Oreochromis niloticus: one gene and its partners. The protein of the gene in region 2 interacts with the protein of the main gene of each other region in a pairwise test. Links are inferred from orthologs where the notes say so. Each region holds a gene or a part of one and is shown on either strand. Other genes may lie near its edges. The genes, in order: spred1, creb5b, fosl2 and efemp2a.

Region 1 (7,992 bases), on a different chromosome or scaffold from region 2:
GAAAGTGGCTCAATTTCACAATGTAATATGGTGAAGACTACTATTGGGGGGGGGGGGGGGGGGGGGAATGATTATCCTTGACTCTTAAAAAATGTGGCACACCAAATCTTTTTTTTTTTAATTTAGTCAATAGATGTCTCATGAAAAATATTTCATTAAACAGACGCTTTTCAGCAAAAATAAATGGCTCAGGCAGCGCTCAGTATTCCGTTCACTCCATTACTATGAATCATACAAGAGGAAAGGTGGTGAAATCTTAGCAACAATGTTTGGATCACTTCGCCATTTTAGCTGCTGCCATCATGCTGTGTGGAACTGAGGATTTTTATTTTTTAGCCTGTGGCAGTAGTTCTCAAAAATTGGGGATCTGGGGTGTGGATGAGTTCCCGAGATTATTGAAGGGAGTCGCATCAAATTTAGGAGATGAGGAGGTTTCACCAATTCACACAATTCAAGCTGAATCAAGGTTTATAGCAAATATAGCCTGGGATGAATTCATATGTGAGCTCCTGTGCTTTGACATGAGGAAAAATAAATAAATCCATGACATATGTTACATAAAAACAAAACAGTGTAGTTCAAGGACAAAACCTCCATGCATTAAATCAATCAGCCTCACAAAGGCCAGAAAGATTGAATGGGGGAAACAAAACAACAACAACAACAACAACAAAAAAAAACATGGGTGTGTTTCAGACATTAAACAGTGACACTGTAAATGGCTGAAAAGGGCATATGACTTCCTCTGTGACAAATGAATTGTGAAAGAAAAATCACGTCGACATGGTTAAGAAAAAACATGTAAAATAAACGACTAGAAAAACGAGCACAGGCGCCTATATGCGACGTATTGTACCGCGAATGCAGAATATGTGATCACTGTGTGACCGTCGGTGCAATGCGAAACAGTGTACAGTGCTGTGAATGGGCAGGCAGGTACTTTATGAATGGAGGGGATCATGTGACCGCAGCACCTCCCGAAGCAGATATTTCTCACTGACTGTCAACAAGCGCACACAAGGGATCAGCCCATTAAAACAATACCAAAATGCGAGCTGAAATGGGCGCGACGTGTACAAAAACACAGCATGCACAGATCATAATCGATGTCCGTAGGTTGTGAGGCTCTGGGCGTGAATGCGATGCCGTTTTTTAAGCGTTTTTATGAATGGAGGATTGTGATATGTAAATGAGCATGATTGAGAAAAAAAAATGGCATCTTCGGCTTTTCAATGCCGACATTGCCGCATTAACCGCGAAGAGCCTTCATTAAAGAAAGGCTAGACTTAAAGACAAACACAATCCGCAATATTTTAATCGATGATTATGTTCCGAAATCATGGCGGACAGCAGTTAGACACAGATCGGGGCTGTCAATGCAGAGGACTCTGATCGTGATGTACCGAGCAAGCACTCACATAAAATTATATTTAGATTACTGTCACCTATGCGTCTGCTCCGAACGATCCTTCGTGAATTAATACATTTCCCGAACATATAATAATACACCAAGCAAGCAAAATAAGCAAAGATTAGTACACCTCAAATGTTGTGGCTTTAATGTGAATTCTCACAGCATATACTGGTTAGCAGTATCATAAGCCTACAAAAAAGTAGCAACGAGATTAATATTTTACTACGGATCGATGCCACCGTTTCCCCGGCACGGTTCTGTTTAATCTCACAAGGCAATCCTTTCTATTAGCTTGATAAACAAACAAACAGGGGGGGAAAGTACAACGTGTTTCTTATTGTTGATATTAGTAAAACAAGACGATGAAATGGCAACGTTGCTCGGTTAGAAATGTCACCGGGAACTAACGTAGCTCGATGCTCGGTGTGTTAATATCTACATATATAAGCACATATTGAAGATTAGCTGTGTGTTTGGATGTAAATGATAAAATAATAATAATAATATTAAAATAAAGTGTGTGTAAAACAGGACTCACTCGTTGTTTGGATTTGTTGAATCTTCACTCATTTTTTTCCTCACGGGGATCCAAATCCTAGCAATAGCATCGACGACGCAGTGACGGCGGGATAAAATACCACATATATCACCATTTTCCTTCACATACAGAAATAACCCCTATTTCGGATAGTAAATAAACGGCGTACAAGGGGCATGCCTAACTCAGCGTCCCTATGAAAAGCAAGTGAAGCTAGCTGGACGTTAGCTTTTGCTGGCTGGGCTCTAACGTTAAATCGCGAGGAGGAATGACAATCGTTGATTCATTTTATCCTCCCTGGAAGTAAAATCCGACCACAACAAATGGGCCATCTGGACCATCCTCTTCAACTGACACAAATCCCCGGCTTGCAAAAATGTGCATAGATCCTCAAAAAATGTAGAAACCGTTGTAGGTTGTATCGTTTGGCAGGTTATTTATGGCTGGCTGTCGAGCATCCATTCGCCAACTTCAGGTCCAGGACAACACTTGAAAAAGAGCTGTGCAGCGTTGCTCCGTCAACGTGTCCGAGTAATTTTCAGTAAAGGCATCCAATGCCCCCCAAAATGGTCCGACTGTTTTCAGTATTAGCACCGACAGTTAAAGTAAAAACACATAGACTTGAAATTTCCTTGAGAACTTGATGGACATCTGCTTTAATCGAACTCCATTTTCAACTCGGGGGGGAATGAAACATCGGAAAAATGGGCGGATATGTCGACCCTCGCTTGAAAAAAGGATCCTTCCGCGACGTAGTAAAAACATAACACTTGTGATAGAAAAAATACCAACCCAGCACACACTTTGCTCTGTATGCTTAAAGAGTAGCGTATATTATACTAAACCGCGTTCCCCCGTAAGCGTATGCAATAAGTTAGTAAGATTTCTTTCTAAAGTTGACCTAAAGTAGTCCCCCCACTTCCCAAAAGAAGTTTCCCTTCAATCACGCATTGAAACAAGAGGGAAGCGTCTGTGTGATAGCACGCAAAGTAGGCTAGAAAATAATCTAGAGGAAGGACCTGAGCTGACACGGAGACTTGGTCATTAACAATTTCTGGTATATTCTTTTTTCAGTTGTATTATCGTGATCTACCTCCCCTCCGAACCGCTTTTAAAATCCTAATGCAAAATAGTGGGGAAGTGCTGCAAATGTACACAACCGAGAGTGCTGCAGCACGTGGAATTATATCAGACCCTCTTCACGATTTATGTGTTTCAAATCAAGATGGTATTTCTATCGCTGAGCGTAGGCCAGGGTTATTTATTATTCAGTGATAGCAGAGTGAAAAGTGAAAGACTGTAAAGCGGCAATTCAGAAAATGAGGATTTTTTTTTTCTCTGGAATGTAGAAACAAAAATCTGAGTAGGGCATGGTGTGGGATTTTTGAGAACTGTAATTGGCCGTAAATGTAAATAAAATACAGGCATTAGGATTACACTATAAGCTACAAAAAGGGGTGATCACTAGAGAGTAGGGGACTAAAACAACTGCATGTGGCTCAAAGTCGTGCTTCTAAAACTGTACCAGGCAGCTAAAGCTCCCTCCAGAATAAAACAGTCTAAGAAGTTGCCAGAAAAATCCATGTGTGCTTCTATGAATCTTAGTTGCAAATGTGTTAAAAGCCTTTCAGAGCAAATCGGCAGCCTGGTTGCATAAGACTTAAATGCTATTGGATTTCTGTGCTGTGTGGAAAAGGCAAGAGATCAGGCTAAATGATTCTGCCTGGTTGTCATAGTGACAACATGTTGTGTGAGAAGTTTCTTTGTATTTCTCTGGCTTTCATACAGCTTGTGCTACAGTATTATGCTGAGGGCCATATGAAACGTCCCTCTGTGTCACTGTACATACACTACCAGTCAAAAGTTTGGACGCACCTTCTCATTTAATGGTTTTTCTTTATTTTCATGACTGTTTACTTTGTAGATTCTCACTGAAGACATCCAGACTATGAATGAACGCATATGGAATTATGTAGTAAACCAAAAAAATTGAAATAACTCAAATTTTGTTTTAGATTTGTCAAAATAGCCACCCTTTGCTTTGATTACTGCTTTGGACAATCTTGGCATTCTTTTGATGAGCTACATGAGGTCGTCACCTGAAATGGTTTTCCAACAGTCTTGAAGGAGTTCCCAGAGATGCTGAGTATTTGTTGGCCCTTTTGCGTTCATTCTGCGGTCCATCCCACTGCAGGATGCTGTGGTAGCCGTGCTGGTTCAGTATGCCTTCATTTTGAATAAATCCCGATCACACCTCCTCCTCCATGCTTCACGGTGGGAACCATGCATGTAGAGATCATCCGTTCACCTTTTCTGCGTCACACAAAGGCACGGCAGGTAGAACCAAAGATCTCAAATTTGGACTTATCAGCCCAAAGCACAGATTTCCACTGGTCTAATGTCCATTCCTTGTGTTTCTTGGCCCAAACAAATCTCTTCTGCTCGTTGCTTTTCCTTAGTAGTGGTTTTTTAGCAGCTATTTGACCATTAAGGCCTGATTTGCGCAGTCTCCTCTGAACATGTCTGTGAAGGTTCTCAGTCATCCAGGTCATCGTAGTCAAAGGAGTTTGCAAAGAAAAGCGTCTGGACTTCTTTAAGTTGCTTGAAGACGTTTCACCTCTCATCCAAGAAGCTTCTTCAGTTCTAAGGTCAAATGGCCGAGAGTCCCAGATTTAAACCCAGTGGGAGAATGGGTTTAACTGTTCCTCTGAACAGTTGATGTAAAGATGTGTCTGCTACTGGAACTCCGTGTGGCATTTATCTGGGCTCTAATCAGAGGTACTGTTAATTGGCAATTTCTGAGGCTGGTGACTCGAATGAATTTATCCTCAGCAGCAGTGGTGACACTCGGGCTTCCTTTCCTGGGGCGGTCCTCATGTGAGCCAGTTTTGTCATAGCAATGGTTTTTGCGACTGCACTTGGGGGACAAATTTAAAGTTTTTGCAATTTTCCGGACTATCGTTTCTCTTCACTTAGCTGATTGGTTTAAAAGGCCTAAAAGTCATTGGACTAGCTGACAAAAATTTAAATATCCATCCATTCATCTACTTTCTTCTGCTTATCCAATTTGGGAGCGTGTAATATTTGACAAGGCTAACACCAGAGAGACAGTTAAGTATTCATGTTCACATGAATAGTTAACTATGTCTAATTTAGATTTACCCGTTAATCTAATCCATGTATCTCATTGAACTGTGGGAAGAAGTAAAGAGAACCTGGGATACAAGGATTGTTTTTAATACTTGAATTGAAATCCTGTAGAATTAGACTGTAGAACCCACGGACATCAAATCCTGTGTTTCTTCCCTTGAGATGTTCTGCCAGGCTTTTAATGCAGCCACCTTCAGTTTTGTCTTCAGTAACTAAAATTATGCCCTATTGGGCTGAGATCAGGTGACTGACTTGGCCACTAAGGAATATCCCATTTCTTTGCCTGGAAAGACTGCTTTTGCAGCATGTTTTGGGTCATTATCTATTTATACCATGAAATACCGCCTGATCAGAGTATACCCCTATACACTTCAGAGTTCTTCCTTCTACTTCTTTCAGCAGTCATATCGTCAATAAACACTACTAATCAGATTCAGTGAGCAGCCATACATGTCCATGGTATAACATTGCCTCCGCCATGTTTGATAGATGACGTGACAAACTTCATGAGCTATTTCATTTTTTCACCATCATTCTGGCAGAAGTTAATTTTGGTTGCATCAGAGCTGGGCAGTCTTGTTTAAACGTTTTCTATCAAAGTCTAATTTGGCTGTGCTGTTCTTGAGTGTAACCAACAAGTGGTTTGCACCTTGTTATAAACCTACTTACATCCATGAAGACTCCTTTTGATTTTAGACTATGTGGCACATTCTTGAGGTTGCTTAACTTTTGTAGATGTTTTGAAGAGGTTTCTCTTAACCTAGAAATGAATTCTGTGATCTTCCAGGTCTATTGGCCAATGTATTCTTTTACATATTGTTCCAATTATCAATCTGATTACTCCCAACGTTTTTGCTATCTCTCCAGTTGGTTTATTTTGTCGTTTTTACGCCTTGTGTTGGCCTCATTCACTTGCATGGGCATGTCTTTGAACCTCATATAAAATGTCATGTGAAAAGCTATGAAATTCTAGTTCAAAATTCGGAATCAACTCTTTTATCTGCCTAATTTGTGGAATAGGCTTCTCTTTGTCACGAAACTGCTTGTCAGTCAATTGTCCAGTGAGCCTCTGAAAATGAAGGATTTTATGTATAAAAATGACCATGAATCCAAAACAGACTGCCTGAGAGCAAAAGCTCTCTTGGGATTGTTTTCTCAAAAAAATAATGATTTCAAGCTGACATGAATGTTTATACAAGCAGTCTGTATTATAAACGGGGTAATCAGGTTAGGATACTGCATCTTTGTTTTATTTAACATGGCCTCTTCACTTATTTCTGATTAAGTTACCATGATCAGGTCCAAACGAAGTGTCCCTTGATTCAAAAAGAGCAGAAAAGAACAATGAACATGATTTATTTTTCCTACTAGCATGCCTTTATCCTTTAGAGTATTTAGAGTTCAGGAAGTCAGCCTTCTTTCTCATCTCACAAATGTGGATGACCCTAGTCCATTTCCTGTGTTTTTCACACTGAACATACCACACAACGTAGCATATTTAAACCAGCCAACAGGAAGTTTAGCTGATAGAAGCATCCCTCCTTGACTTTATTCACTAAATGCAATCAAACTCATCACAATATTCTTCAAGGGAGATATAACATTCCTGCATTGCCAACAAGGAACCACCGAATGGATGATATTTTTAGCCCGATACAATCCTCATTCATCAGATCTAAGCTGATGAGTGAAATGATTTAAAATACCGCAGTCTGATGTGACTGGCGTTAAGTCATGTTCCTTTATTTTTCAGTGACTCTGCAGCATGAATCTTTATTTACTTGAAGCGTCTGATGTATCTTGTAATGTGAAAAGAATGTGATAATTCGATGTAAGCAAAAATTATAAAATTACCAGACAAACTTGTTTCCATTGTGTATTTATTATTTTCGTGTTTGCACAAAAAATCCGAATCTAAACTTCAGTAGATAAACAAACTTGCTCATGAAATGAAAGAGATTTTCTCTCCTTGAATGCCTTTATTTAAAATACAGCATCAGAAAGCATTTGGACAGCAAAATGTGATCAACTGCACCTAGGATCACATGGGAACCTGTGATTCTGTACCATCCATCCGGTTCACAGTGAGCCCATCTGACACTGGGCGAGTGATTGGACATTTCCTGGACAAGTTGTTAATCCTTCACAGGGCAAAAGTAGATAGACACATAGACATTCATGCTCACATTTGCACCTATATAGCTAATTTTGGAATGGCCACTTAACCTAATCCTGAAAACACTACAAAAAAGGGCTCCAGCAATACTAAGCACTGCACCACTGGGCATGGGAGATTCATCTATAGCAGGCATTTCCAACTCCAGGCCTAAGGGCCGGTGTCCTGCAGGTTTAAGGTGTGTCCTTGATCGAACACAGCTGATTTAAATGGCTAAATGACCTCCTCAACATGTCTTGAAGTTCTCCAGAGGCCCGGTAATGAACTAATCATTTGATTCAGGTGTGTTGATCCAGGGTGATATTTAAAACCTGCAGGACATCGGGCCTTGAGGCCTGGAGGCCTGGAGTTGGAAACCACTGATCTATAGTTTCTGGCCTGGCCAAGGCAGAGAATCAGATGTGTATCCCCAAACATTTTGCTCTGATCATCTTAGAAGCACAGCAGCTTCTGGAAATGGAGAACTATAACTGTGTAGCCATTCAGTCTGCAGTAAACTCAGGGCAACGAATGACCCATGTTGGCTGATGGTTTGGTGAATGAGTAATCTATTATTCATCCCTTTGTTTGTTATACTGATGTATATATATAAATATATGTATGTATATATGTATTGTAACTGTAACTTTAATTGTAACTAATTGACAACACTAAACCTTTAACCTCATTTAGCCACATTTGTTATTGTGTAGTTTCCAGAAATGATCATCTCCA
Region 2 (6,986 bases):
CTGAATAGACTGTTCAACCTCACTGTGGAAACACATGCAGGCAAAGTCACGTTTAACAGCTGCTCGTAAGTGACCAAACCCTTCTGTTCTCAGGGAACTGCCCAGCAAGTTTGAGCCAACCAATAAGATAATTTCCTCACTCCTACACACTACAGTAAAGAAAGGGCACCTCAGTCCTTCTGGCTTCATTTTTGCATGGAGTGGAAACTTATTTCAAACAGCTGAAAGTGAAAGCACCTCCCTAGGGACTTTATTTCTAACTCAAATCATCAGTGTGTTTATTTAAGTGATTTGTAATAGGACAGCGGGTCCTGCAGGCCAATATAAATCATATAGGAATGACTAACACAATGGAAATACCACTCACAAAATATTATCCATGCAGTGTTGTAATGTAATCTAAAGGTGTTATGATAGTGTTATTGTTAGCCTCGCCATATAACATTTAAAAAATGTTATTGTTAAAAATGTTATTAATAATCCCCTTTAAGTAACACAGAAGCCAAGTTCATTAATCATTAGACCGATAAACCTTCTCACAAGTGCTGTGCAAAAAGATCATCCTACACCATTACAAATCTCCATAGGTTTCACTCAGGCACCACCATTTATCGTCCACCTAATGTAAATATTATAGGGTCAAGTGTTTGAGCGAGAAAAAGCCACTGAGGTTATCTACTGAGGACCCTCCAGAGTATATGTTTTGCTGGCCGAGACTCCCAGGGCCATTAGAAAGCTCAGCAGAGATAGTTTGCATACCAGGACAGAAATTACTGAGTCTTGACAGTTTCAAACCACCAGCTAGCTGACTATTCATTTCAGTATTTCAATATTTAATCTGAATGCTGAAATTTATAAGATGTATGAGTAACTCAGATGTTGCAGTGGACAAAAGTAAATTTACTGGTTAAACAATTGCCTGTAGAGTAAAGGGTTTTCTATCCTTATTTTGGAGTTTAATTTCAAAACATCCCCACAACCCAGTATTGAATTTTTATTACTGCATTGTTGTTTTGCAATGCAGTGAACTATAATTACTGAACATTCTCATTTTTCAAATCACACAAATATATGCACTTTTTTTCCTTTACAACCCACAGACCTTGACATTGACAGAGTGTCAACACTGTGATATTCAGTATGTCCTGAGGTTTCCCTCACCACACAGTAGTTCCTGATCTTTAACCACTGAACAGCAAACACTTGGAACGACATTCCCACCAGTTCAGAAGAAAAATCTTTCAATATTTATAGTCAGCTAGGCTGGTATATTCTCCTGGCTTTGTAAAGATATGATTATGTTTTCAAATCAGACAGATAAGTAACTCTACATTATTTATTTATTTTTGACATTCAGACTATATAACAATTTATTCTGTTAAATAATTAAAAAAAAATTGAACATTTTCTGAAGAAAGTTTGAATCTGTCAATATAACTACTGCTGTTGGAGTTATCAGGCAGCCCTGCATTAGCCAAAAGCCCAGACTATCTTCTTTCGGATGTGAGTAAGGTTTACTTGGCTGCTTAGGTCTTATCTTACATCTTTCCCTCTGCTACAACAGTCATGGCTTGCTTGGTCTCAAATATGTGATAAGAGCTAGATGGTGAAGCCTCTGATTGAAACGTAGGGATTTTAAAACAAACACGCAACTACGGATGATCTCATCTACAAACTAAAGTGCAGAATTCCCCAAAGTGTCTGCTTTGATATATTGTTGGTTAAAATCAGAGTTTTAGAAGTTGTTTTTAAACCAAAATGTAAGATGAAGATGCACCAGTAGTGCGTGAAAACAAGAAAAACACCAGTTGACAAAGACCCACAATCATTTATTAGTTTTACATTTCTTTTTTCTATTTTTGCTTTTTCTACCCCAAATTTTGGAGAAGTATTTGCTTATATGAGCGATAACAGATAACTAAATATCTTATATTTCTGTTGTTGCACAGTTACTAAGAGCTTTATACTAATATCTCTTTGGGTGTAGTCATCTCTGTTTAAGGTATGAAGAGCAGCATTAATGTGGACATCTATTTCCTATAGCTGACTGCTTTGCAAAGTGGAATATTCATTAAAGTGCTTTATATTTTGTTAAAATTGAAAACCTATGAGACGCTTTCGTTATTAGCCTCCTTCACCTTTTGCACCTGCTACAACAAAGCATCATCACTGGTCCTTATCTTCCCAAGGTGATCTTAGCTAGAAGCATTGCACAAAGGCATAATAATAAAAGGTTTAGTATAATATAGATCAAGTCCACTTTAGTGTGGGTCACTGACCCAAACTGTATCGGCTCTTTCCAGCCTTAATAGTCTGCTCCTCTGGGAGCATAATGTTTGGATTGGTTGGGAAATATATTGGCAATAAAGAGACAAAAGGATGTCATAAATGTTGATTAAAGCTCTGGTTAAAAGACAGAGGCAGAGAGGCTCTGAGTTATGAGGGCTTTTCAGACTGCGTTATTGTTTCAGTGACAGAGCTCTTAGTGTGTCTAGTGGAGTGGCGAGTGGTAAACATTTCTCAATGTGTGAGGAGTCATTAATCCCTGGAACCGAGGATGGCTTCACTACCAGTGTCTGTGGCCCAAGAAATCACAGCCAGTTGGCACCAGCAGGTCGTGCAGAGCTCCAACATAAATGCTTTGTACTTCAGAGCTGTTTAAATCTCTTCTATGTGCTGTAGCTAAGGCACACTCTAGAAAAGGCAACAGGCAACGCTCTGTGTTTTGCACATTCAGTTCATTTGCCAGTCAAGCTGTTGATGATACATTGAGTCCTGCCAGGTTATAGCCTCACTGTGAAACATAAGCAAAATATGAAACCAGTTTAACGAAAACAAGTTTCTAAGGCCCTGACAGTAACATCACGGAGTAATACAGTATGCAGATTGTCACCGAGGCTGAATCGTAATTCTGGCAAAAAGGAACTTTCCTGTTTCTGGAATCATTAGACTTGGTCATGTATGTTTATTATAATTTATTTTGAAGAGATTCCAAGTTTCATAATTACTTTAGTTTTCTACATAGAGTTTTCCCAAATTCTACTTGAATTTTTGAATTAGCAAATTCGAGCACTGCTAGTCTGAGAACATTTGTATTCTTGCATGAAAAACACTTCACTCATCATGTTACACAAGCATACACAAGGTACATTGTAAAGGTCAGTTTCTGCTTGGTTCCTTTTTAAGGGGGACATTTACTGTGTTTCCTTATTTTCTCTCATGTACATAAATATATAATATTACAATTATCAAAGCTCCTGTGAGAGGAAACAGCCCTAATAAAGTCATCCCAGTCATCTAGCCTGATGTTCAAACCTTCTGTTTGCAAGGGGGAGTCAATCAATATAAAGCTGGTGTAAAAGAAGTGTGGCTTTTGGTAGAGGAGCTAAAACAGCTTGGTTCAGCAGTGGATTTGCTGAGAGGCTGTGGCTAATGTTCAAAGCTACTGAGTCCAAGAATAAAGATATGGAGCCTAGAATCAGCAAATATTAGAATTATTTTTATTTACTTGTAAGGCAGAAGCTTCTTATTATAAAGTTTCGATTTTGTTGGATAAAGTTTGCAGGGTCTTGATTATATTTCACGCGTGGTACTGTTTAGTGGGTTTTCCCGTTTATCGCTCTCGCTGTTGTCAGATAGAAGCTGCAGCACCGCACGTTTATTTGCGCTCATTGCTCTGTACTGGCGCTCCAGCTTTGGACCACACCCACCAAGGGCCAGCGGCGTTCATACATGCCCCGGGGCGTGCATTTGCAAACTCCGCCCCGCTGGCTCCACCTACCAGCGGACCACAATGATTTAGAAGTTCAGGAATCCCACGTGACGTCACCCAGGGTGACGTTATGCTTCTCTAAATAGATCGTATTGTAATCTTTTCTCAGTCCAACGTGGTTTCTTCTGAGAGACTGCTTCACATTTTCTGCACTTGTTTGGTAAGTTGAAAGCCTTGCCACCATGCAGAGGACCGTGCACGCGCCTCTGCAGGTTTGTTATCTTTTTATTTTTATTTTTTTAAAAAGCGATTCTTCTCACTTGTTCTTCTCCCTTTTTCATGCAACAGCTTGTTTTCTCGTTCGCTTCAGCAGTCTTTCTAAAGATGTGATTTTGGTTCATTTTTTTTCACCTCCTCGTCCAAAACTCCTTCGTCTCCGCAGGTTTGTGTCGTCCAAGTTTTGTTTGAGTGAGTGCATTGTCATGTCACTTCGCGCTCCGTGTGTTTGGCCTGTCTCGCGGAGTCAAGTGCCGCTGCAGCTCGGTCTGTCAGGTAGCAGCGGAGGCAAGTCTGCAGAAAATTATCTGAAATGACGGAAAAACGCGAACATTTTTAATGCAACAGACGCTTTTCGTTGCACTTCACACCAATTTGGCACGTCTTCTAAGTTTTCATTTAGCTCTAAATCTCCGAAGCTGGACCTCTGCATCATTGTCATGCCTGTCCCATCCAGGGATACGCAGAGCAGGCTAATCTCCGGGACTCGTGCGTGCTGCGGTTCACCAATGACTGTCTGGAAGATAATGGGCCGGTGGTTATGCTGTTACCCCAGTTTACAAAAAAAAAAAAGGGGGGGCACTAATACCCCTGTTTACGTTAAATTTATGTCCCCCTTTTTCTCTTGAACAGCAATGTTCATCAAGATTACGTCATTCTGCAGGCCAGTCGATATTTGATTAAGCGCTAAGATGTTGAGGGTTACTTTGAGTAAGGTTGTGCTGACGGTGCGCGCTTTGTGACGGAACGGCTTTTTAAAAAAAGAGAAAGATGCTTTAATTATTTGATTGCTCTCCGGCCGCTGTCATTATGTTTATGTGACAGCACTATCAATAACACATGTTTCTCGTACACGATTCCACTTATTGTGCCCGAGTTTTTATTCGGTGTGGTAATAACGCCGGTTAAAGTGTTATTTATGTCTGTTGCGACGTTTTTTCAGCATTTAATATAGACTGGGATGGAGTTTCTTTGTATGAAAGCTTTTACAATAATTTTTCTCTTTAAAAAATATGTATCAGATTGAGAAAAGTTAACTTGCTGGACAAAAAAAGCATTTTTAAAGCAAAAATACATAATCCAAAAATAGTTCATAATAATTATTAGGATTTACATAAACTTAGACCAAGTAGCATAAGCTATAGTTAATGCATTTAAACTCACTTGTTTATTCTATAATAGTGTTATTTACTAACCTTCATGGATATATGTTTTTTACATGTTAAGTTGGATTGCAGCAGTAAACTGTGAGCTGCATTTCGTGATGATTGTTTTATGTGCTTGAGGTACCCCTGGTAATGTCTGTACTAATATAGAAGGTGTGAAAAGGTAGGAAGCATAAAGGCAGTCTCAGGTCTGATCAACAAGTACACCACAGACGTTAGAGCATTTTATTTTAATACTAGAGCTTTCTTTTCGCCTTTACCTGCAAAGTTCTGCAAAGTGAACGCTAAGAATAATACAGTTAGAATAATGTGAGCAGTGCTAATCCCATGCTAGACCTCAGAGCATTCATTTTTTGATTTATGAGTTTATGTTGAGTCAGAGACCAGTAATTGAAAGCTTTTGAAGTTTATATTTCAGTCAGACCAGTCTTCTAGTCATGCATTGAGTTTAAGAGCAGAAGTTCAGTGCAGACATTGTCAGAGAGGTCCCCCGTACGTTGCCTCAGGGATCGCCGTAATCCTTCCTTCAACTTGTACTCTCAAAAGCCCAGGCTATGGCACTGGAGCTGCAGATTTGAATTGCTGTGCATGTTTGTGCTTGCTTTAACCCCATATGCCTTTGCACCCCAACCCTTCTTTTCCTCACCATATTGTTTAAATTCTAATATGCGGTCTACCTGCAGAGTTCTTCCCAAGTTCCTCTTGAAATCGAATGCCGGACCCTAATCCTTCCCCTCACTTACATCAGGATACAGTTAATGTAAAGTGTAACCAAATTTCCTCTGCTAAACGAAAACATCTATATTAAATGAGAGCCAAGTGCCCTGTCCAAGGAAAGGGCGTTGAATGCTGATAATTTGAAGTGTGAAAGCTATTGGATAATTCACAGAGGCATTCGCAGAATTAATGGCTGGAAGTTTTATGCATCATATGGTTTGAATTTCCTAGTAAATGTGAGGGAATGATCGAGTCCCGTTTTAGAAACAGGAACAGGAAGGTAAACGTTTCTGTTTTTTACAGTTATGGAAACAATTTTTCTCTTATTTTTTTTTTAATGGCTTGCTTTAAAGTTTTTATGTTTCAAGAACTGTTTCAAATTCATACTGGCAATCAAGAGGAGAGCTAGTAAACAACAGTTCCAACAAGAGTTGTGCAAACAGCTGATTCATGCTGTTTCATGAACATTTCCGATAAAAAAGAAATGGGCCTTTATTTAATACACGAATGAGTAGCGCCATTTCTACAGGCACTGTTTTTGTCATCTCGAGCTTAGTTTTATTTAATGATCAGCAGTGTTGGTTGTGTTTGTTGTGTCAAAAGAGACCAGGTGAGTTTTTAGGGGCCCTGTTTTAAAGAACTGAACTGGTGATAGAAAGACAGACCAGGTCTCATTGCTCCCTGACAGAGAGACCCTTTCCAGACCCTGTTCAAGCGGGCTTGCTCATGAAGTACAACTTGTTAGGAAAACAGGACTGCTTAGCATAACACAATATTTGACTGTTTTGACTGCGCTTAAGGAAATAGCCTGTACCTATGAAAGAGACACACATGCACATAGCGTATGAAAGTATTCATGGCTGACACTTGACATGCCGTACTGACTTATTACAGGCTTATTACAGAATTACAGATGCGCTGCGGTTCTTGTGAACTGGTAGCAGGCAGAGGTGATAATAATGCAAGCGATAAAAGGAAATGTTTTATGTGCCATTAAATGAAAATGATGTGGTCCAGTATCAGTGTTGTAAATACTGCAGATGTTTTACTTGTACTGAGAGGACACATGATAAACCACAGACCTATTTGATGATCATCAAACTCTTAGTGTCTTA
Region 3 (7,839 bases), on a different chromosome or scaffold from region 2:
GTACCATCACAGAGATGCACACACCACCACCCACCGTCATCAGATTCACACATTTTTCCACATTTCAAGCTTATAGTAGTGATTCAGTCCACATAGGCGAAACACTGTATGTAACCCCTGGAGTGAAACAGTGACACATGCAGTGATTCATGTGGGAAAGCCCAAGGTGTCCACTGCATCTCATTTTTACTACAATGAGACATAACAGTGCACTAGAGAGCCATTTCACGTCTTCTTAAGTTCACTTCTGATTTGACGGGGCAGATGGGAAATGTAAAATTATATTTTTAATGGAATAAACTTTATTAAATTTATTTCACAGAAGATTGTTTAAAAAAAAACAAACAAACATACAATTGGGGGGGGGGGAATAGTGGAAAAAAAAAAAAAGAGATGTGAGAACATCTCAAGATATAATGTGTTCCAGAATGGTAGATTTTTGTTCAGACTCTCATACAGACAAACATTTTACATATCGTGCCTATATACATTTGTGCAACAAGGTCTTGTACAAACACATCAACATGAGAAGTGATGTTAGATCATTGTTTCTGGTATCAAAAAGGAGGAATGCCAGCCTGTGTGCGTAAATTACGCACGTCCCCACATCCCCGTTATTCCCGACTTTCCGTCGGATATCCCGGCAGTCTCTTGCAACTTTGTTTATCTGGTGAGTCATTGTGTATTGCATTTGTCGAGCACATGTGAAACGCGGTCAGTTCCAGTAAGGGGGGAAGCAGCCAGCTGTAACAAGCCAGACATATTATCCAGAATTATGCGAGTGGAATTTTTGGGCCAGATTGGCTTCAGAATAAGAGCACTGGAATTTACAATACATATAAACCAGGAAATGAATAACTGCCTACAAAGGACATTCAGTGGAATCATGACATTAGAGCCAAACAAGTCTGATTAAAATGATACTGGTCTTGCAAAAACACGCGGGGGGAGGGGGGTCGTTTTCATATGTCTCCATAAACTAGCGAAGAGTTCATGTTCCAACCCTGTAATGGGAAACAGGCAGCCAGCGTGTGATTACAGGGAACCAGAGCAATGATACACACTGTCCAAAAGTCTTTTACCGTAATGTTGCGTGAGCCTGAGGAGGCTTTTCCACAGAATTGCACGGCAGAGGGTGTGGGGGTAAACAACATGCCTGTTCCCGGATTTATATCCTCGTATTTTTGAGATACCGCGTCTTCACGGCATTACACTGGCACACCTCAACTGTGTCTAAAGTCTCACTCAGACTATGTAAAAGCGTAACCTTATGAGATTTTGGTGTTTTAGATGTATCTCTACAATTACTACCGTGAACACAGCGAGGAAGAACGGGCTTTTGATTGCCCTGCGCTCCCAGTCAGAGCGCGCTTCCAGCTGGAGAAAATGTGGCATGTGCAGCCCGAGACCCGCCTGGTCGAATTAGACTCTGATTCCATGTGGAATAAAAACATGTGGACACTTAAACGGAACTTGGGTCAAATTCTGCAGCAACACATATGGAATATTGAAATCAGACATCTCACAGCCCAACACGAAATGCCTGTTGCATCCACCATGAGCTTCATCTCTAGCTAGTTTATCATTACCGCAGCATGAAAAGTGTAAAAAGCTCAGGTGTGCATTTGCTTTACACGCATTCGTCTCTGTGAGAAAATTGGCAAAAACCCCAGAAATGTTCCTGTTTTACAAACGCACAGTGAATTTGGCAGAAAGAAAGGGGAATTTAACATCTGTAAATCACAGACTCGGATTCATTCCAGTGTGCCAAATTTCCCTGCAACAGTGCACAAACCACCCTGTATGTCTTTTTTTTTTTTTTTTTTTTTTTTTTTTTAAATTGTTGGGATAAGACAATTGTACCATAAATTTACGCAAACTTGCGCATTGTCGCCAGCTGCGGTGCGCACTAATGGAGAAATTTAACATTAGATAAAATAATCAGTGTCTAAATATTTCAAAAGCAAAATTATTGTAATATTATCAGACTGCGCCTATGCACAGATTGACTACTGCCCCTGTTGAGTCACTGATACGAACCGTGTCACTGGGTTCATTCGGATTTGTGTCTCCAGGCGACCCGGAAAATTCCTGTTTAAATTCAGTTAATGGCTGGAAGTAGCAACACGATGGAATAATTTTCTAAAAATTGGACTTTGCACAAGAACGAACTGACACTTTCATGTTATCCAGAATGCATTCATTAATAGATTAATCTGCAGCCAGTCCTTTCCTTCTGTTACCTGGTAGCTTGAGGTAGAGATCGGACTTCCGATCGTGCTGCTGCCGCTTGTGAAGGACTCTGGCTGGGCCGGAGAGGTGCTGCTGCCGCGGGACGAGGTGTCGTAGTTCCCGGAGTAGTCCTGGTACATGATCCAGGAAAGAGGAAGATTTCAGTGCACTGTTTGAGCTCTGAGAGCCTTTTTTTTTTTAAATCCCCGATGCAAAAAAGGCACCAACAGGAAAAAAAAAATCCTCTGATTCGAGAAGTCGTTAATTTCCAAAGAAGGAGAAAAAAACAAAAGTGCAATTTTGCTCCTGTAAACTAACCTAAAACATTTTACTTATAATACAAATCGTTTTTTTTCTTGTGTATTATTCCTGCTTGTAGAGTCTATTTCTTGTTTTGTTTTTTTTTCCTGGAGCCGCAGGTAAACCTACACTACGCTGCTAAAGATCCTCTCAGGTGCGCAAACTTCAGCTTAAAGTCAGCAGCACACCTTCAGCAGTCAGATCCAGCAGCGACAATCAAACATGTAGTTAGAGTGACTCACACAGGTTAACATTCGCTTTAAAGCCTATTGCCTCTCTACTCTTCTCAATATTTTCCGTCGCCTTGCCAGCTACACTCCTCTGAGCTCTCTCTGCTGCTCACGGAACACTTCGAACTTTTTTTTTCTTTTCCTTTTTACCACACTTCCTAGAGATGACTCACTTCAATGGCACTATGAAGAACTGCAACGGCTTTTCAACACCAACGAAAGAGCCTACGTCACGCATGGGCGTTGCGACTTCAGCAGGGAGGGGTTGTCTCTCCAAAAGGCAGTGAAAAAGAAAAGATCCGTTATCACCATCCTGCGCCCTGCGGACAGCAGGGAGAAAACCGAAAAGCTGGGATTTGGTAAAAGTGGTCCAGAACATGTGTGGAGGGGTTTATTTTTTGTTACGGACGTCAGTGCTGCCGCGGAGTTCACTATTTGTCTGACTTGCTTGGGTCCATTGACGCATGTTTCCTAAAATGGGCAGTTGCGTCAGCGAGCGCGTGTGGGTTTCCTTGGTAAAGGAAGCGTCAGACACTGGAGGGATTCCCTCCCCTCGCGCGCTGTGGTCCGGACTCGGAGCTCAGAGCTCGCCGGTCCAGGTTCGGCCACCCAGCAGTGATGGAAAACCGACACATTAAAGCTTAGAAACTTAAAGCTAAAGCGACTTGCACGGACACGCGTGCACCCGCACACACCGGGAGCGAGTGCTGCGCAGTAAAATCATTTATTGAAAGTTTTTCAGCTTCAAAATGAAATCCATATCTGTAGCTGTGCACAGCCTGAAAATTCGATAAATCAAATAAAGACAGAGAGGAGGGGGTGTCATGGTGGGTGTAACTATTTCATGTCCACCAGTTTTCATTTGCTGCTCATAAACACACTCGGCGATTGGACACGCGGCGTTTCTGCACAATTAAACCTTTGTGCGCTTTGGCGCCGCCGCATTGTGCCTAATTTGGAGAGAGGTGGCACACAACACGGACGGTCAGATTAATGTGGCCCGCCGGTTAGTGCAGCACGGCGGCTTCAAAGGAATCTCGGTGAAATGTGGGCTAATTGTAATTCGGACGCACCTCATAAACAAGGGCGCAGCGCCCAGAATGTGACACGTTACACGATATAAAATGGCGCATTAAGTCTAATCCCATCTGCCACGGTTCCTATTTTAATCTGCATCACCATAACTGCTGGTGCCGCGCGCGTCTTTGCCAGAAAGCCTCGCTCCCGTCAGAAAGTTTGAACCGGGGGAAGTTGCGCTGAGGGGAAAATAATCTGCGGGGGGTTTCTGGGGTGACCAGCCAGCCGCTCGTTGCCTCACTTTGTTCGCTTGCTCATAACGTGAAGACGTCAGTTACACTTGTAGGTACTGCAGCTCTCCGATATGTCACCCTTTCCAGAGTTACTGGGTGTCATTCATTTTCGCCCCATTACCTTTTGACCTGCGCACTGATCTATGACGCCCTGCCTGTCGTGCGTTTCAGTTTCCCGAAGATGTTGAGTAATTCTGTATCTGAATGATATTAATTAATGGTTAATCTTTTGAACGCAGCGGTGTTGCTAAGCGACGCGTTTTCTGCTAAATAGCTAAAGGGGGGGGGGTAATCTAATCTGCCATCCCATAATTAATGCCGTAATATCATTTCAGACGCACCCATGGGCGTCAATTTGGGAGAAGCACGATGTGGCACTGTGACAACTTCTATATGGTTCCAAGTTTGATCTTTGAGGATCCTGGGACACGCAACAGTCAGTCAGCCAGACGCTGCTGCTCCAGTTTGTCTTCAGTTTCTTGGAGTTTAATCGCAAATTCTCGGATTTCTGAAAAACTGCAGCTTCAAGGAGCCCAAGGTCAGGGGTCAGGTGACACAAGAGGGTGTTTGGTCAATGTGCGCAATGAGGTCAGCTTATCTATCCATCACACATCAGAAGGAATCTGTGTTATACAGAACATCTCATTCAGCCTGACGTCCACGCAAGAGGTCCACTGAACGTCCGTGCGCAAGAGGCTTACCTGGCCGCGGCCGACGCGCTTCAGGTGCTCGTGACGCAGGAGAGTTGATGCCTAATGCTGCCTTCAGGTACCGCCGCATAAATCCGAATGAGGAGATTGTAAACAAAGGGCAGTCAATCCAGGTTGGGGGGGTACAAACAGAATATATTAATAAGAGCTAACCTATTTAGTTATTACAACTTAACAACAAAACCCATTTCATGAAAACACCTAACATGGCCTATAGTAGGAAATGATCATCTAATCATGCATCATAGACATCAGTCACACAGCGTTTTCCGTTTGTAGGATCACAGCCCTTTGATGTTGGGTTGTTTTTTGATTTTCACTTTTTCTGTTGTGTAGCACATTATGAGTACTTTAAAGCTACTTTTGACTCCTTTTTCCCCAACCACATTATTTTGCACAACAAGATCTTAGATATAGGGCATGTTATGGATTATATTGCAGGTCATCATAACATCAGAATCCCCAAGATTACTGGAAGTGTTTCGCAAGCATGATCGTAGTAATAATAACAAATCCATGACAAGACGTCCTATTAATTTCGATCATTGCTGTCAAATGATCCAGCAGAGTACTTTTTTTTTCGTTAAGTGTGCTGTAAAATAATCGTTGTTAAATTACAATGCTGTACTTTCAGCTCTAAAATAAAGTGGTGTTTTTACGTTGTAAAAATTTTTGCAGTTCTGTTCTGTATAGAAATCTTTGCAGCAAGTTTGCTGTGTGATTTTCATTGTACTGCTGTTTGAGTGTTCCTGCTGTCAGTGCCACAAACAATTTATTACCCTAAAATAAGATACACCCTGGAGTCAGTTTCTTGTTGTTCTTCAACCATGACAAGTACTGAATGCTTTGATTTTCCAATTTCCCACACCCAGGGACATTTCCAAGATATCCAAGAAGAAGAAACATTTTTGGGGGGTCACATAGAACCAGAAGTTAGAACATCTGATTATAAATAAATACTGAGGGTGTAAAAAACATTTCATTTGGTATAATTTTCTGGCTCATTTGCAGTCCCCCTCATAGAGATGTATTGCATGATAAGTGGCTGCACCACAGTTTATATACTGTTTTTTATTTATTTGATTTATTGTTGAGTTTTTTTAAATAGGAATAGTATTCATACAGTATCATAATGTGTATATCATTATTGTGTATATTTTTATGGTACAGATAGAGATTATTTTAATGGCTTGAATACTGCTGAAAGCTTGGTCTATAGGCTTTATGTATAGTAATACATCATACATGAATATATTTTAGTCACAGAAATATAGTATATATCCCAAGAACGAGGGTCTCATGCAGGGGCTTGTCCTTCCATGATGGTTCCTTCTCTTGCTCCCTTTCTTGGGTTTCCGCTGCCCGAGGTAGTCACTGAGCACGCGGCCATCTTTCTGATGTACTCGTGGATGTTTGTTGTCACATCCTGGATTGTGGTACTGACACTCACTAGGAACAGCACAGTCCTAGGAACAGCAAAGATACTGCGCAGGACCCTCAAGCTCCCAGGCCTCTCTCTGCTGGAGGACCTGAGCTTGAAAGATAGACTGCATTAATGTATGTGTATATATTTATACATTAATTATATATATATATACTATATATATGAGATAGATAGATAGATGGATATATATATATATATATATATATATATATATATATATATATATATATATAGATACATATATATATATACACACACACACACACACACACACACACACACACACACACACGTCCTTCTGTTTGTAAAATGACCAATTTATGGTAAGAAACATTTCTCCACTTCATAAATTCATAACAGGACGTGTAAAAATATACAACTGGGTGACTTGAAGGTTAAATGACATACAAACCTCCTGAAAAGTGCATTTACAGTCACACTGAGTCACTTCATTGCTACATAATTCTCTGGAAAACAGCTGAGTGTTCTAGAGAGGAGGAGACTGTTCAGAATTCACTACATATTTCCTTCACTTTTTTTTTTTTTTTGCCCTTGCATCACTTTGTTTTCCTTTTCCTTTGCCGTCAGTCGCCTGTCATGTTGTCATGTTGTAATACCTTAACCTGGATAATAGCTCAACATGATCAGTGTGGCTAATCTCACAGCTCAGGTGCAGCCAGTAGGACACACGTAGGTAACAAAGTGCTGACTGTGAGCACAGAGAGTGAGTTAAAGAACAATCAGAGTGACCGACAGTGGGACTGTGCTAGTGGCCTGTTAACACACTTCACATGCTGTTTGATTACGCAACAACAGCAACACCGAGTTCATTGCATTTTTAGAGTTAGCCGAGCAAAATCTAGCAGGGAGCCGATACCCTCCTTGCGCATGCACTGACAATGCTGTGGCAAACATGTGCTCCCTTTGTCACAGTGTTTTGTGCAAGTTGGAGGTTTTCAATGGAAATCTAATCAGCGGTTTCATCAGGAAGCCCAGTGTGCAGGAACATGGCTTTAAAAAGAGGAGGCTGGATGCCAGACGGGCAGACAGCTCCTGTGAATTGAAGCAAGCATCCTTCAGTGATTTCATTTACTGGTTGCTGTGGTGACTCATGTAAAGCAGTCAAACACAGCAGCGCAGAGGGATAATTTGAACGTTCTTGACCTCCGGAGTGTGGGATTGCAGAGAGAAGAAGATGAATTCATTGGCCACATACTCTCCAATAAGGCCACTCACATCATTCAGGTATGCAAAAAGCTCAGCAGCTGCTCGACAACATCTTCACCCTAGCCACATCCATATGGACTGAATTCTAATCCACTCAGACAACTGGCCTGCTTTGGTGTAGTTTCAGCCTTAATGCCAGATCCCATTTAGCAAAACAATTAATTAAATACTTATGACAATCATTCAGGAACACCTGAGACTGACTTTGATGGACTGCATTGGACAGACATGGCTCAAAACACTGCACAGAGAATCTCAAAAAGAGCTACTTATTTTACACAAGATTGGAGCTTTACTCACAATCTGAGGATGTGGTTTTGTCAGTTCTGATATCAAAATAAAGCAGCAAACCCTTCATTATAAACTAGGAGAAAAGTGACAGCCTG
Region 4 (7,950 bases), on a different chromosome or scaffold from region 2:
GACAAATACACAATATACAGAACATAAAACAGTCCGTTATTAACACTATTTTATCTGCCTGGATTATTGTAGAAAAAATTATTCAAAACGCTACTAATCAAGTTTACAATATATTATGAAAATACAAGGGTCTTTGTGGCCACTATTTAAGACATCTTTGAAGTCTTAGTACCGAGTGCACAGGAAAGAAGGGGTCTTTTACCCATCCCAGAGGCCCTGTTAAAAACTAAATAAAGGAGGCAATATTTACAGTCAGGGACAAAAGGCAAAGGAGTCAGTGATCAGCTTAAAGTCCCATTTAAAAATACACTTTCAGGTGACAGTTTTCCCATTTTGCTTTTATTTTACCTTCCTTACACTTTCTCCTTTTTTTCATTTTATAGCTTAACGTTGACGGTTACTTTAGCACCTCTTGCAGGCTTTTCCTATAGTAGAATATTTTTTGACACTGCTATATTGCTATTTTTACTTTAATACAGTGTTCTGTACCATGTAGTGTATTTTTAAGGTAAATATATATTGCATGGTTCGGTATTGATGGATTGGGCCTCTCTGGCAGCAATGACACAACCATCCTTCAGTTAATGTTCCTGAAAGAAGCTATAAGTGTTTAAGCTGAGCCTAAACATAAACAAGTTGCCCGTTCCATCTCCGCCAGACCGAAAAGACAGGAAAATTAAACAGACAAATTGAAGTAATAAAAAAATCCTAAGCAAGTGTTGTTTGCAAAGTGAGTGAGCTCCAGTTAAAATACAGGGAGGAAGGTTATAATCACTGCCTGTCTACGTGCATACACTCACGCTCTGATATAAACTCCCGAGGCCACATTTGCAGGCATTGCTTATTGTTTTATTTCAGGCTGAGACAAACAGAAGGCCGCAGGGTGACTTGGACACCCTGAAATACTCGAGGAATGACATCACCGTGACCTTTGAGTGGTGAAAAGCAGCAAAATATGCTCTCACACTGTAAGCTCAGACGGTAGCGCATACCACCGCGCAATCAGACGGCCGCAGTGCGTGATCTCTCTGAATTGGCCCAACAGTGACTTACAACCAGCAAGAATTTGACCCGAAACCACCCAAAAACAAACTGACCATCAGCCTGGGGTCCAGTCACTCACTGGCTACTCAGTGTGGGCAGCAAGGATGCATGGGTGTTTCCCTCCTGCTGCTGGAGATCAAGTGGCGGCGGACCTCTGGAATGCCCGTGGCAAGGATGTGGGCACCAGTTCTCAGCTGGGATGCCCTGCCACTGCAGTGGTTCCCAGAGTATCAGGTTCTGGGAAACCCCCCACAGTTCACATAAGAGGACAGCTGGTGCCAGACCTCCGGCCACCTCTTCCCTAACCTCCCATCCCTTTGGAGGATGTGTAGGAGGATGTCAGAGAATGCGGCTCTGATACAGAACTTCATTGTCTGCGTTCGACCACCACTGACAGGGAAAATACACCATTTGAATAACTGATGAGTCAATCCATAGAAAATGAATCAGGAGGCATTTTCATGACTCGCTTTCCAGCAAAAATGTGAAAGCAACTACACAAATATGCAGTTTCCCCTGCTTTTTTCTGTCAATACGAAAGTAACCCAAATATTCAGCAGGATATGATTATTAGTGAGGCAAAATGAGACATCTGAAGACGTCATCTTGGACTCTGGGAACTTGTGGTGGGCTTCTCTTTTATACAAGTGTACCATTTACTACCCCACAAAAATAAAAAATACAAAAAAGTAAATCATCGATACTTTATGAAGGCGCAATCTTAGTTTCATTTGGAGCTTGGCTCAGCTTCAGGACTGCTGGTTGACCCATTTTTAAATTCACACATTCAGAACAGCTTAACAAGCAAAATGTCAGGCGGCTTATATCAGTGACCACATGGAAACCAAAAAAAGACCAACAGCTGGACCACACACACACACACACACACAGTTTAGACTCCAGGATGGTCACTTGTTGTAGTGTATACACAAAGTTTGCGTCGCTGTGCTCGGCTGTGCGTGGAGCAGCCTGAGAACACGGTGACCCAGCGCGCTCCACCAGCTGCGCTCTGTTACAGTTGTGGCAGTGAACCTGCAAATCCACAACCAGGGAGTCTCCATCTCACACTCGGCCTGACTTCTGTTCCGGGAAGCTCCACAGGTAAAGACAGAAATAACGCCCTGTAGGAGAAACTCACTCACAAGGTAAAACATGTTCCTCCTGAACTCTAACGTGTGATGCTTTTGTGTTAGAGTTCAGAAAACTTTGACATGCTTGCTTTTTTCTAATCCCCACCTTAAAGTGGAAACATCTGCTTTTACCTGCAGGAAATTGATTGCACAAAAAGTGAAACAGCAGTTGTGCACTGTGAGGTCATCCAGGTTTAGAGAACTCTTCTACATGTTGGCACCTGTTTGTGTTTCAGATTTTGAGCTTCCCCCACCTAGAGACTAAACTGAGCTTGTGACACTGACGTTAAACGTTGTACAAGAGGGATGAGGCGGAAGGATTTTGCAATATTACAGTACGATAATATGTGCCCTGTGACTCACTGCCTCTCTTCCTGTCTAACCCCATATTACAGTCAGAGCCAAGAAGTAAACTACTCAGACAGAGTTAGCCACGTTATCTTGGCTCTCATAAGGAGCCAAGTGCAGCTGGGAGAGCAGAGCAGAGAGCAGGGCAGTGGTGCAAGTGTGACGTGTATGGCCTGTACTAGAAAAAGTGGGTAAGAGGTACATCTCACCTCCCTTACTTCTCCCTAAAATGCTAGCAAAACATAGTAAGTCATCCAGCAAGTCTCTCTTTAACAAACAGACATTCTTAGATATGTGTAAGAGGCTAAAGAAACACAGGAAAACTCACAGAGGAATCTTCTGTCTCTCAGTCTCCGTCTGACCAGTGTGTCCTCCTGCTGGCTGCGGTCGTCCCAGCCGAGTTGGCGTACAGAAGTGGTCCCTTAAACTCCTGCCTGTATGACCCTGAGAGAGAGAGTGAGTGGGGAGACCGACAGCTGGAGCAGCTGAGCACATGGAAAGGGAGGGAGAGAGAGAGAGCGAGTGAGCAAGACAGGCAGAGGCAAGAGAGAGAGAGAGAGAAAGGGAGGAGAGAGGAACAGCCCCCTTACCCCCCTCTGGCCCCCTGCACTGCCATCCTCCACTCCCCAAACCCCCTCTCCCTGACCCCCCAGGATGCAAATTCCTGGTCTGCGGCCCAAATACCGAAATTCCAAATCCGTCCAAATCGCAGGCACAACTCACAGATTCACACACACACATGCCCCCACATCTTTTCACCCTCTCACTGGTCCCACAACACACCTGGTTTCATTTAAACCAAACCCCTGCAAAATCCCCAAGCTCTCCCACCCATTCTTCCCTCCCTTTTCCCATTTACCCCCCATCTATCTATACTTACCTCCCCCATCTCTCACTCCCCTTTTTTCTTTTCCATAAAGCCACTAAAGCCTTCGCTCTCGTCCAATCTGACATGCAGGGATATTTATAGCCAGAGAGAGAGAAGTTAATGGAATGCGGACAAAAATTAGAGAGTGGAAGAGAGCGACAGACTGTGTGTGTGTGTGTGTGTACGTGTTTGGAAAATTTTTATTTTACAGAATGAACCAGCGGTGCTTTCTGGGACAAAGGACAGAAAATAAAGAAGTATCATAAGTCTTGACCCACGCAGCAACTCTTGCTCTTCTCGTGTTTGTGCGTGACTAATGCGTTACTGCGCTTGGAATCATTTCCAGCAGCATGTTGTCTTGCAAAATTTGTAGTCTGTGATGATGCAAACGGGTTAAGATGTTGCTTAACTCACATTAATACTCATTAGTTTCAGGCTCATTCAAATCTAATGGGCACAAATTCAGACTATCCTCAAAATGGGATCAACAGCAGCGGCAGCGCTAGTCTTAATTTTCCTTAAAAATATCTCATCACTTGCAGAATAGCTCCCTGCATTTTATTTTTAGACGGGAGGCGGTTTCTCCAGCTACCCTCCAGTGTTTGGTTTAAAACCCTTCACTCGGCCTCAGCTTATTTGTCTGCCTTTTGTTTTTGTCGGGTGGCAGAGATGGCAGCTGTCACTACAGGGGATGTTGTTAAAAATCACACTCCCAGCTGGACTAACTGTGCCCCCACCCCTCACCCAGTTGGTCCCTTATTCCCATAACCACACACAGAGACACCCCACACACTGACTGGAGTCACAGCCTGTCGTGCATGTGATCCGCTGGTCCTCTTTAAGAGAATTAGTGAAAAAAAAGCTAATTCAATTGGAGTCAATATCAACTACAATATCAAATCCGCTGTTTTCACTTCTGAAGTATGGTTCACCCAACCCCCAACCCCCGGCAAAAGATCCTGATTCGGGGGTTAATCACAACATCTCTTCCTTCCAGAATAAACATGAAACATTGCATAGAAATGAAACAGAAGGGCATTTTTAATGTAAAATCTTCATTTTATTTACAAACCAAATTTACAGACAATGTTGGGGGACGCTAGGAGCAAGGCAGGCAGACAAACATACAGCGATGACAGAAGAAGCAGAGAAAGCACATCCGAAGGAGCAAAGTAACGCCTTAGCAAACTGAAAGGAGAAGTGAACCGCTAAGAGAACGCTTCAGTCGTGATACATTTTGAAGATGCAGCTTTTGACGACGCCCATGTATCTGTCCCACACGACCTGATGTCTGAGGGCAGAGAAGAGAAAGAAAAGGAGAGCAAACGGTAAGTAAACGGAGTGAAAAGAGGTGCTCTAAATTTCATGTCAGACTGTAATTGTGAAATCAGAGTGAAGAGAGTAAATGAGGCAATCTCTGTCCCCTCTGTGTATACGGCTGGGGGGGTGGGGGGTCTATGTTTCTTTTTATGAATATGTCTTTGTTAAGCTTGTAGTGGTTCAGGGCTGTGTAAACCCTTAACTACATTCCTGAGTGTTTGCACGAGAAACAAGGTAACTACAGTTTAAGAAGTCATGAGCAAGATAGGGAGACACCCACTGGCAGAACAAGGACGTCAATTTTTGGGAGGGTTTTAACATACAGCTTCACGCTTCAGCAGTGTTTAACACCACCATGTGTATCCTTATTCGGTTATTTTGAAGTTTTCCCCAAAAGCTCTCTATGAAAAATCACAGCTGTATTTTTAGCACAAGGATACCCCGCGGGGGAATTGATAACCCTGGCAGGGCCGGTGCCGGGCTCTGACTGATAAGCTTCGGAGAATAAAAGCACATTAACTCACTTGAATGTGTCGAGTATGTGTGCAGAGTTGGTGTAATGAGTGAGGTAGAGTTTCATGTCCGCAGCTGTCCACCGGTCTGAACGGCACGGCTCAATAAACTGTGGGATAAAAGGAGGTGAGAAGGTTACAGCATAAAGCCTCAAAGGCAGACTGATGCTGAGAGAGACATTAAAGTATTTGGGCTTGGTGAGCAGTCTTTACTTATATATTTATATTTTTAAGAAAATCTCACCTTCTCTACGAGATCAATAAAGAAATCTCTGACATCTTTTGTGTTGGTCAGCTTTGCAGCTATGTTGATGAGGCCTCTGGAAAGATTCTGCAGAAACAAAATTACATTCGAAACTGTTATTTCCTTTTCACAGTTATTCTCACGGAATTTCATGAAGATACTTAGCATCTCTCACCTTGAAACTAGTCTCCATCTCAGGGAAAACTTTCGTCTTTCCTCTGAGGGCTGTACAGACCAAACTGAGCAGAAACAAGAGAAGAAAGAAAAAGAAAACAGATCAAATTATTTTTAGAAGGTTTTTCAGGAGTAAGCAAAACGTGGAAGTGTCTTGAAGCGTGTTCCTGTTACCTTTTGTGTTGATCGAGCAGATCTTTGTCAGTGATTAAAATCTTCAGCTCTTTCAGTTCTTGTAAAAACTCTTTGTCAAGATCGACGTCCATGTCTTCCACCATGTTGTCTACAGGAAAATTCAGACACTGTTCAAGTTAGTTTAATGGGAATTTCTTCTAGAAATTATATTGTAAATATTTGTGTTCTTATAACTGCTTGGTTATTAAGTATAATGACTCAGATGCTACCTAATATTATTCCCTTTTTCACTCTCCTAATTGTTAACCTGTGAATTTAAAATTCATCCTCTTACTGATGAAGTAAAGCCTGAAGGACCTCTGGTGGTCAGTAAACCTCACTGACAGCGCCACTGGTCTAAAATTTATTTATTAAACACAATCAACATATAGTTACCAGCCACTTTGTTAAGGTACACCTTGCTAATAGCAGGTTTGACCAGCTTTTTACCTTCAGAACTGCCTTAATTCTTCATAGGGTCAATAAAGTGCTGAAAACATTCCTCAGGTTTGACATGACAGCATCACACAGTTGCTGTAGATTTGTTGCTAGTGAGAAGATGGGTACAATATCTTCATAAAGGGATGGACATGGTCAGCAATAGTACTCAGGTATGCTGTGGTATTTAAACAATGCTGAGCTGGCGCTAAGGGGCCCAAAAAGTACCAAGAAAATGTTTCAACACCATCACACAACCACTACTAGCCAGAACCATTTATGCAAGGCAGGAGGGATCTATGCTGGCTTTACCTCAGAACATCACAACAGCAGACGAGACTCATCAGACCAGGAAACATTTTTCCAATATTCTATTGTTCAATTTTGTTGAGCCTGTGTGAATTGGAGCCTCAGTTTCTTAGCTAAAGGGAGAGGTACCCAGTGTGGTCTTCAGCTGCTGTAGCCCATCTCCTTCAAGGTTTGATACTATGTGTGTTCAGAGATACTTTGGTTCTAATGAAGTGGTTATTTGAGTTACTGTTGAAGCAGTCTGGCCATTCTCCTCTGACCTCTGAAGGTATTTTCACCTCAAGGACTACTGCCCACTGGATATTTTCTTTTTTTAGGACAACTCTTTATGAACCATAGAGATGGTTGTCATGGAAAATCCCAGTAGATCAGCAGTTTGTGATATAATCAGACTAACCAACATTCGCGCCACGTTCAAAATCACTTTTTGTCCCTTCTCCTCCCCATTCTGATGCTCAGTTTGAACCTCAGCAGGATGTCTTAATCACATCCATGTACCATGTACATGATGTACCTCGCCAAGTGACTGTCCAATTAGATATTTGCCTTAACAAGCAACTGAACAGCTGTACCTAACAATGTGGCCTGGTGAGTATAGACAGCATCCATTCTGTTCTCAAAAGTAAACGTTCTTTTGAGAACTTTTAAAATTCCTCTTTTATAGTTTTTTGTTCACCACTAATGTTTTACCAATTTGTAAAAAACACAAAGACAAATTAAGACATATCTTATCATATCTTATATCAGCAAAATGGCCAAAGGAAACAAAACTAAGCACTCACCAACAGCCCCAACTGTCCAGTTGCTGATAAGCTGGCCGGCACAGAAAGCAAAATCCTGGAAACTGAGGTATTGTAGCTTTCTTTTTCCCGTCTCAAACCGATTGTTGGCAAAGAAAACGATGGCAGCGTAATCCCTGTGATGAAGAAAATAAACACACGGCATTTAAAAAAACCAAAATAAAACCAAGCAATCAGAGCACCCAACCTTTTTATGTGGTATTTCGTTAGAATTTGTTGCAAAATAACATATTAATCCATCACAACACTACAACATAACAGATTTTAAATTATACAACAGCTGTAAAACATAAACCTGAGGCAGAAGGCTTGTGCTGTGTGCCCGTTGCCGATTACCTTGCAAGTTTGTCAGACAGAAGAAAATGCTGACGTATGTTCTCCACCAGGGGTCCCTTCAGCTCTTCCACAACTTTGAAAACACGTTTGAAGTTGTCGAACTGAAATTACACACACAACGCAAGAGATTTACTAATACTGAAAGAATCTGCTCCACAATCAGAAATCCCACCACAAGTAATAAAATGTACCCAGAGCTATAAAACCAAATTAATTGTTGAAACCGGCAGACAACAGGAGCTCCGGCATGGTT

The links.
Region 1: the proteins of creb5b (region 2) and spred1 interact in binary tests that used the Homo sapiens proteins (3 or more experiments, as listed by UniProt). The link is inferred for Oreochromis niloticus from reciprocal best matches to the Homo sapiens genes CREB5 and SPRED1.
Region 3: the proteins of creb5b (region 2) and fosl2 interact in binary tests that used the Homo sapiens proteins (3 or more experiments, as listed by UniProt). The two-hybrid records come from large-scale screens. The link is inferred for Oreochromis niloticus from reciprocal best matches to the Homo sapiens genes CREB5 and FOSL2.
Region 4: the proteins of creb5b (region 2) and efemp2a interact in binary tests that used the Homo sapiens proteins (3 or more experiments, as listed by UniProt). The two-hybrid records come from large-scale screens. The link is inferred for Oreochromis niloticus from reciprocal best matches to the Homo sapiens genes CREB5 and EFEMP2.

The regions. Positions count from the first base shown.
Region 1 is NC_031983.2:16,022,477-16,030,468, forward strand, and holds the start of spred1 (sprouty-related, EVH1 domain-containing protein 1), read right to left. Parts: upstream 3,011-7,992; 5' UTR 1,985-3,010; coding exon 1,953-1,984; intron 1-1,952. UniProt on the Homo sapiens protein: Tyrosine kinase substrate that inhibits growth-factor-mediated activation of MAP kinase. Negatively regulates hematopoiesis of bone marrow.
Region 2 is NC_031976.2:18,511,156-18,518,141, reverse strand, and holds the start of creb5b (cyclic AMP-responsive element-binding protein 5), read left to right. Parts: upstream 1-3,868; 5' UTR 3,869-3,954; coding exon 3,955-3,984; intron 3,985-4,058; exon of another isoform or gene 4,059-4,154; intron 4,155-6,986. UniProt on the Homo sapiens protein: Binds to the cAMP response element and activates transcription.
Region 3 is NC_031983.2:23,201,860-23,209,698, forward strand, and holds the start of fosl2 (fos-related antigen 2), read right to left. Parts: upstream 3,052-7,839; 5' UTR 2,373-3,051; coding exon 2,244-2,372; intron 1-2,243.
Region 4 is NC_031966.2:20,257,605-20,265,554, forward strand, and holds the start of efemp2a (EGF-containing fibulin-like extracellular matrix protein 2a), read right to left. Parts: upstream 3,052-7,950; 5' UTR 2,851-3,051; intron 1-2,850. UniProt on the Homo sapiens protein: Plays a crucial role in elastic fiber formation in tissue, and in the formation of ultrastructural connections between elastic laminae and smooth muscle cells in the aorta, therefore participates in terminal differentiation and maturation of smooth muscle cell (SMC) and in the mechanical properties and wall integrity maintenance of the aorta.